Linked DNA regions of Neurospora crassa OR74A. The protein of the gene in region 1 interacts with the protein of each later gene in a pairwise test. Links are inferred from orthologs where the notes say so. Each region holds a gene or a part of one and is shown in the gene's direction. Other genes may lie near its edges.

Region 1 (4,324 bases):
GCAGGAATGGGAATGGGCGATGTCAGGAGCGACCCGGCATTGATGTGCTTGGCTATCCACTGGATGGGAGCAGCAGAGAGTGGAGGGGATGAGTTGGCGAAGACTTTTATGGCGCAGCAAATGCGTTGATGTTTTGACTCCGGGGACGGAGTAAGTCGAGAGGCATGGGCTTCAACGCCTTGGGCCGCATAGCTAACGTGGTTCGTGTGAGTGTGTGTATGCGTGTGCTTGTTGGACAACGGCTGGTCACTTCTGGAAAGTTTCGTCCGGCTTGCTGTAGTTGTTGCTTTTCTCTGTCCTCCTGGGTTGATCATTTGAAATCTCTTTGCCGCTACTGCTTTTGGAGGCTCCCTTTTTGTTTTGCTTATACCATCGCCGATATGCCAGGCAGGTCTTACATACCACCATGTACACTCACCACAGTCATGTTTTCTCTCTTCTTTTCTGGATGAAGGTCAGCGTTCAACACTTTTTTTTTTTTTTTTTTTTTTTTTTTTTTGGAAATGCTGCTGCGCAGCCTCGGGTCGGATTTTCTGTTTTTCTTGTCAGCTTGAATACCCCTTTTTGCGTATACCATTCCCCATCATCATCCTTTGTCTTTATTGGTCATGTCGTGTCACGTCATGTCATACAGTGTCTCTTGTACAGGTTTTCTTTACATTGGGTGGTTATCTGCTGTTTTGTCCCTGTTTATCCGGCCGCTTGAGTGCCTACCATGTTATGTACCAGGAGGGAGGGAACGCAGCCAACAATGGCAACTGTCTAAGAGGCGCACGCACACACACGCGGGCAGACTTGCGGGGAATATGTGTAGATTATGATGTATGAGCTATGAAGCAGTAAGATGGGAGGAAGGGGGTGTCACTTCCGGGGAGTGCAGAGGGGAATTGGAGGTAATGGAAGGGAACGAATAAAATATAAAAGACCACTCCCGTTCATCCTTGTGTCGAGATGTGTGATTATATCGAGCTAAGTGACCGGGGCTATTGATACTGCACAACTCGAATACCGCTGTTGGATATGTCCCTCAGACTTGATTTGATGGCAGGGACGAAAGTCATCTGGATTCTCTTTGAAATGTGCCTTACCACAAAACAAAACCTACTGATTGGCTTACGGGATCTGAAATAAAGATGAAGGTGAGTGTCAACAAGAGGAAGAGGAAGATGGGATGATGGAGAGATGGGACGAAGAGAGGGTTAGGGTTTATGCGTTGGTGTATCTGTAACAATTCTGGCGGGGGTGGTGGGGTTGACCCAATCGCTCCCGAAACAAGCAGGCGGCGGCAAATGGCAGAAGCGTTGCCGCCGTGGATTTTGAGTCATCCATTGCCGGGAACGGGGGACCCGACTGGGGGCGCGCGGTCCGGCCGCTACTGAGTCGAATCGGGCGCCGCCGTTGCAGTAAGTACATAGCCCCAGGTGTCTCGGAAAAGTTCCAAGTGGATTGATTGATCAGAGGAGTTCCCCGTCCTCCGTCTCCGTCTCCGTCTCCGTCTCCGTCTTGCGCCAGTCCTCTTCCAAGACTCGACCGCCGACGACTCCCCCAATCAGCCCAACATGCCTACCATTAACGTTGACAAGTATCGCCTCTTTGAGGAGCTTGGCGAGCAGTAAGTTTCCCTGTGGTGGTCTTTTTTGAATTATCACGGTTACCCCGCCATGGTGTTTTGACTACTTCTATGGACGGACACAAATCACTTACACGCTTTGCGCCAACCACCACAGGTTCACTCCCGACACCTTCCAACAGCTCTGCTTCGAGTTCGGTATCGAGCTCGACAAGGACACCGAGGAGGATGAGACGCGCCCCAAGGACCAGGCCCCCGAGCTGGCCATCGAGATTCCCGCCAACCGCTACGACATGCTCTGCTTCGAGGGCATCGCCATGTACCTGAACATCTTCCGCGGCAAGCAGACCACCCCCAACTTCAAGTTGCTCGACATCCCCGAGGACAAGATGCAGAAGATCACCGTCAGCCCCGAGACCGAAAAGGTCCGCCCCTACGTCGCCGGCGCCATCCTGCGCAACCTCAAGTTCACCCCGGAGAGATACGAGTCCTTCATCGGCCTGCAAGACAAGCTTCACCAGAACCTGGCCAGGCAAAGAACCCTCGTCTCTATCGGCACCCACGATCTCGACACCATCCAGGGCCCCTTCACCTACGAGGCCCTCGCCCCCAAGGACATCAACTTTGTCCCCCTCAACCAGACCAAGAAGATGAACGGCCAAGAGCTGATGGAGTTCTACGAGTCCGACAAGCACCTCGGCCGCTACCTGCACATCATCCGCGACAAGCCCGTCTACCCCGTCATCTTCGACGCCAACAAGACCGTCTGCTCGCTGCCGCCCATCATCAACAGCGACCACTCCAAGATCACGCTCGACACCAAGAACGTCTTCATCGAGATCACCGCCACCGACCAGACCAAGCTCGACATTGTCTGCAACATCATGGTCGCCATGTTCTCCAAGTACTGCGACGAGCCCTTCACCATCGAGCCCGTCAAGATCGTGTCCGAGCACAACGGCACCACCCGCGTCACCCCCAGCCTGCACACCCGTGTCATGGACGTCGAGGTCGATTACCTCAACCAGTGCTGCGGCCTTCAAGAGTCGCCCGAGTCGCTGTGCAAGCTGCTCGGCAAGATGGCGTACACTGCTGTCCCCGATAAGGAGGACGCCAAGCTCATCAAGGTTTCTGTGCCTCCTACCCGTGCCGATGTGTTGCACGCCTGCGATGTGGTATGTACACCCCCAAATTACTTCCTTGAAATTTGTTACAGTACCTAACTCGTTTGTTACAGATGGAAGACGTCGCCATCGCTTACGGCTACAACAACCTCCCCCGCACCTCCCCCAACCAGGCCTCCACCATCGGCAAGCCGCTCATGATCAACAAGGTGTCCGACATTGTGCGCAACGAATGCGCCATGGCCGGCTGGATCGAAGTCATGCCCTTGATCCTCTGCTCGCACGAGGAGAACTTTGAGTGGCTCAATCGTGTTGACGACGGCCAGACCGCCGTCAAGCTCGCCAACCCCAAGTCGGTCGAATACCAAGTCGTGCGCACCTCCCTTTTGCCTGGTCTGCTGAAGACCCTGCGCGAGAACAAGTCGGTACGTTTGCCGCTCAAGATCACCGAGGTGGCCGATATCGCCTTGAAGGACGAGACCAAGGAGCGCAAGGCGCGCAACGAACGTCACTTCGCCGCGGCTTTCTACGGCAAGACTTCGGGTTTCGAAGTGGTCCACGGCCTGCTGGACAGGATCCTGTCCATGCTGCGCGTCAGCTTCGTCACGCATGAGGAGGACCTCCATGGCAAGAGCATCGACTACAAGGTTGCGGAAAACCCGAGCGAGGAGAAGGGCAACGGGTATTTCATCAAGGAGATTGACGAGCCCACCTTCTTCCAGGGGAGGGCGGCGGCCATCTATCTGCGCTTGGGAGGCGAGACCAGGAGGATTGGCGAGTTTGGTGTGCTGCATCCGACTGTGCTGGAGAAGTTTGACTTGAGATACCCGGTTAGTGTGTTGGAGGTTAATCTGGAGGTTTTCCTTTGAGTGAGTGAAAGGAGGGGGAAACGAAAGGGTTGATCTACGAGGATGATGATGACAAGAAAAAAAGAGTGAAAAAGGTTACATGTACTTGTGGAGAATAGAGAAGATTTTCAGCTGTTTGTTTGTTCAGATCCGCCCTCTCCGTTAAGTTTTCCTCTGTATCGTTGTGTCGGCCAACATCCATACGATGGACAAAGTTCTTGGGTAAGTTCAGCCCCCCTGTGATGGATGATGTATCTGGACCACGTCCCGTGTTCTACCCGGGGGGAGTCATCGATGTACACTTAACATAGAGATAGGTAGGTATTCCAGGGCGAATAACTTCCCGTCGTCTTGTCTTCAGGACGTCTTGCCAAGCGGCAGATAGATAGACTTCCAACCCACCATCATCGACAACTCGACCCTCTTTCATTCTCCTTGTTCAATATTAATGGACTCTACACTTAAGTCTTCCTGGCCATGCTCATTTAACTTTTCGACGGGACCGTAAACCACCACGGCCGTGGCACCGGTCCCTAAGGATCTTCTCGTTGCCTGAGGCCATCCAAGATCTATCGCTTTCGCACTCCTCCAGCCTGGGTTGGCATTTCGTTCGGCAACAATGTTTGGCCTGTCTTACTTTTGAGCTGACTGCATGGTCTCCGCGGCTCAAGCGTGATGGCTGCGAGATCTTGTCTCCCAGATCTTGTCTCCCGCGCTTACTTCCAAAGCTTATGATGTCCTCTACTGATGCCATCACTCATCAAAGTCCAGTTCTGTATGAC
Region 2 (4,320 bases), on another chromosome or scaffold:
TCGCGTCAAAGCCACCATCTATGGCATGCCAGGTGACAGTAAATGGCGATCGTGTTGGTTTAGCCGCGGCCAATTAACATTGTCAAAGTTTTGGCATATGGGGGCAAGTTGGTGAGGAGAATGTTGAAGAGTCGAGAATAAGGACGTGGGAAATGCTTGACTGGCATCTTAGTTGAAGAAAGGAAGAATGGATGGCCAGTCCAGGTTTAAATACTACGTCGAGGGAACTTCAAGGCGGGAGGCTCCTGTCAGACATCAATATCCAATAATCATCACCATGCTCACTCAGGCTGGGGAAGAAGGCCATCGACAGGGAACGAAGAACGGAAAGTCAGTCCTTGATATTCGTGTCAGTGGGAATAGCATCGCTTGACGCTTGGACCAAGCGGCAATCCTGACAGTGACCTGAAGCCATTAATTGGTGGAGTTTCATTATATGAAAAAAAAAAAAAAAAAAAAAAAAAAAAAAAAAAAAAGAAAAAAAATCCACGATATGAATGACAGCGGTCACAACGTTGACATAGAAAGAAAAAAAATGCAAAAAGAAAGGCGTGTTTGAACGCCGGGAATTGAGCCCGACGTGGGGGTCGAACCCACAACCTTGAGATTAAGAGTCTCACGCTCTACCGATTGAGCTAGCCGGGCAGCCAAAGCTGCCGTTTGTTGAAAGGACTGCACGGAACTGGCGCTCAAGAGCCCAGCCGACATGCGTTGCGCTGGCCAACAACCAAGACAACACAGCGCGCTGATTGGAGATACATCCGTCAAGCTGTCGCCTCTTGTACCAACATTTGGAATGAACGAATTTCCCGTTGATATGCTGATTGAGGAATGCGCAATGATGGGCGCAAAAGATGAGCGGCAAGCAGACGGGGATGGTGGCACTGCACCAACATGACCAGTCCGGGGTCAGAGCTCCAGAACTGCCGGGTAACCAACTACCGGGTAGGCCAAACGGGACGAGATCAGAGGAACAATACAATATGGGCGTTGAAGAGAAAAAGATGAAAGATAATAATTGATGATGGATCGACAATGAGCCAGTCAATTGGACATTGTTGAAGCCTCGCATCAGTCCTTCATTCAGAACGGCAGTGCTGGCGGTGAGATGCAATGGTGAAGCTGCGGGGAGACGGGAGACGGGAAACGGGAGACAATGACATGCCTTGTTCAACGAGACACCTCAGGGAGATGGCGCGGGGTCAAGACCACCACCACGGGTTAGGGTTGTGTATGGCTAACTCTGCGGCCTCCAAGATTTTCCGCCGGCTGTCATTGGCCAACCAAGCACACGGGCACTCACGGATTGATGGGGCCCACATGTCCGATTCGCGGGGCCGGCCCGCGTCTGGAATTTGGGAAATTGTGAGTCAAAGCCCCACCATGCCTGTGCCAGACGGAGACTCCAGTACGGCGCCGCACACCCCCGGAGTTTGACCACTGAACCGTCAGCTCCAAGCCCCCCCAAGATCCGCTTGCCGCTCCGATCGAGTCCGTTGCTTCAGTTTTGATCCCATACACACACACACACACAACCACACATAATGGCGCCCCCAACAAACACCACCGCGTCCTCCGAGGACCTCGCGACCGACATCCTCGCTGCCCTCGACAAGTCGCAGCCCCTCCTCTCCAGCGATGCCTTCCCCAACGCCACCTTCGTCGACCTCAAGGCCGCCCTCGACAGGCTGGCGTCGCGCGAGATGGTAAAATACGACACCATCGAGCGCCAGGAAGCCCTCCTCGAACCCGAAGCCGAACAGATCGCCGCCAATGGCTCCCACGAGGCCCGCGTCTTCGAGGCCCTGCGCAAGGCTGTCGAGGGCCTGTCCGTCAAGGAGCTGGAGGAGGCCATCGGCGACAAGAACGTGGTCAAGATCGGCCAGGGCAAGGCCTTCAAGGAGAAGTGGATCAGCAAGACCAAGGACGGCAAGTTCACGGCCGTCGCCGACAAGATCAACGACACCACCCAGGAGCAGATCAAGACGGTCCAGCAGACCAAGACACACCCCGACCCCAAGATCCTCGCCGACCTCAAGAAGCGCAAGCTCATCCGCACCCAAAACATCTTCTCCTTCAAGATCCACAAGGGCCCCAAGTTCGCCCTCAGGATCCCCGAGGAGGCCACCGACCTGACCGCCGACATGATCGCCTCGGGCGCCTGGAAGACGGCCACCTTCAAGCCCTACAACTTCAAGGCCCTCGGCGCCACCCAGAACGGCGGCGCCCTGCACCCGCTCAACAAGGTGCGCCAGGAGCTGCGCAACATCTTCTTCGAGATGGGCTTCGAGGAGATGCCCACCGACAAGTTCGTCGAGTCCGGCTTCTGGAACTTCGACGCCCTCTTCGTGCCCCAGCAGCACCCCGCCCGCGATCTCCAAGACACCTTCTACATCTCCGACCCCAAGGCCGCCGACTTCCCGCGCGCCGACTCGCCCGACGACACAAAAGACTACCAGGCCTACTGGGACAACGTCAAGGCCGTGCATCAGGACGGCAAGTACGGCTCCATCGGCTACCGCTACCCCTGGTCCGGCGACGAGTCGCTCCGCCTCGTCCTGCGCACACACACCACCGCCATCAGCGCAAACATGCTGCACAAGCTGGCCGCCACCAAGGGCCCCGACGGCAGGCCTCTCCCGGCCCGCTACTTCTCCATCGATCGTGTCTTCCGTAACGAGACCGTCGATGCCACACATTTGGCCGAGTTCCACCAGGTCGAGGGTGTCATTGCCGACTATGGCCTGACCCTCGGTGGTCTGATGGAGTTCATGGAGATCTTCTTCGGCAAGATGGGTCTGCATGATTTGCAGTTCAAGCCCGCTTACAACCCTTATACCGAGCCTTCAATGGAGATTTTCGCTTACCGTGAGTGCCGCCATGTCGCCGTCGTTGAAGAAACCGAAACGCTGACAAACATACACAAAAACAGACAAGGGCCTCGGCAAGCTCGTCGAGATTGGAAACAGCGGCATGTTCCGCGCCGAAATGCTGGAGTCTATGGGTCTTCCGTACGTTTATCTCCCCTTCTCTCGTTCCTCTCACTTTCCATATCCTCGCAAGCTCATACTAACACCCCCCACAGCAAGGACATGCGCGTCTTCGGCTGGGGTCTCTCCCTCGAGCGCCCCACCATGATCAAGTACGGCATCTCCAACATTCGCGAGCTGCTGGGTCACAAGGTGGATTTGGAGTTTGTCCAGGGTAGCCCGGCTGTTTTGCTTGGCCAGGAGTAGTAGATGTGGTCCAAGACGAAAACGAAAACAAAAAAAAAGTAATGAATGAAAGAAAGCGTACCTACTAGACGATGATACCGAATATAAAATGGAGTTTGATGTTCAGGGTTGGGATCTTTGGGTTCGCGGGGAGTAAGGAGAAGTGATGTCGTTGTTAATGTTGTGGCCTTGATGATGTAGCCGGGTAAACTATGGAGTTTGCAGTTTGCACTAGGAGTCTGGTATTTGACCCGTTGGGGCACTTGGGACACGCAGAAGGTGATGGAGGTCCCAACTCTGACTTCTGAGCAACACCAAAGACAACACCAAAGTCAATTACCGAATTGCATTGACAGCCATCGAACGAGCCCATCTCCATCCCTCTTAATCCCATCTCATTCGGTTAGTTCCCCTCGCAAAACCCCCCTTCCTTCCCCTTCTCCCCAGAGCCTCAAAACTCCTAGCAACCTGTCTCGCCTCTAAAAAAAAGAAGGGGACACTTTTCCGGGTATTACATGTGCTATGTATCAGCGCAACTCAATGAACCAGCTTTTGTACCCTCGGCGAGCCTGGCTCTACCAGTACACTACAACAGCCTTTCTCAGCTTCACCTCGCCCCACCAGCTTTTCAAGGACTCAATCAAACAACCGAAGTCTCGACGTCACGTTCTAGACCTACCACCTTATACACTACTGTTACTATGTGTCTACCTATCTATCTATCCATCTACTGCTAGATCCAAGTTCAACAAGTCTGTTGCAATCCAATCCCAATTCCAATCCCACGCCGAGCCCGAATCAGCAGGACCGGACCGGACCGGACCGGCTCGGTTCAGCTTGGTTCGGTTTGGTTTCGTTCCCTCCTGGGCTCAACTTGTAAGCACCTCAAAGCAGGTTGCAAATGGTCAAAGTAAACAAACACCCCTATTTTGCGCATGAAGATGGCATAAGTTTTTACATCCTCAATGCCTACTAGCTACTGAGTCTTTGTGTTGCGACTGCGGCTTGAGCGATCATCAATGCGCACGACCTCCACCGAGAACAAAACTGAGAAAACGCACGGACAACAGCAAGCGCAAGCCTGAATGGATTATGGGCAGCGAAC

Evidence for each region.
Region 2: the proteins of NCU08888 (region 1) and NCU05095 interact in binary tests that used the Saccharomyces cerevisiae proteins (3 or more experiments, as listed by UniProt). The link is inferred for Neurospora crassa OR74A from reciprocal best matches to the Saccharomyces cerevisiae genes FRS1 and FRS2.

Annotation. Positions count from the first base shown.
Region 1 is NC_026505.1:759,767-764,090, forward strand, and holds NCU08888 (phenylalanyl-tRNA synthetase subunit beta), read left to right. Parts: upstream 1-1,289; 5' UTR 1,290-1,559; coding exon 1,560-1,612; intron 1,613-1,727; coding exon 1,728-2,745; intron 2,746-2,807; coding exon 2,808-3,563; 3' UTR 3,564-3,733; downstream 3,734-4,324. Other genes in the region: NCU08889 (hypothetical protein), read left to right, coding at 1-129; NCU08887 (hypothetical protein), read left to right, coding at 4,277-4,317.
Region 2 is NC_026506.1:3,753,913-3,758,232, reverse strand, and holds NCU05095 (phenylalanyl-tRNA synthetase subunit alpha), read left to right. Parts: upstream 1-1,371; 5' UTR 1,372-1,544; coding exon 1,545-2,868; intron 2,869-2,932; coding exon 2,933-3,011; intron 3,012-3,085; coding exon 3,086-3,236; 3' UTR 3,237-3,627; downstream 3,628-4,320.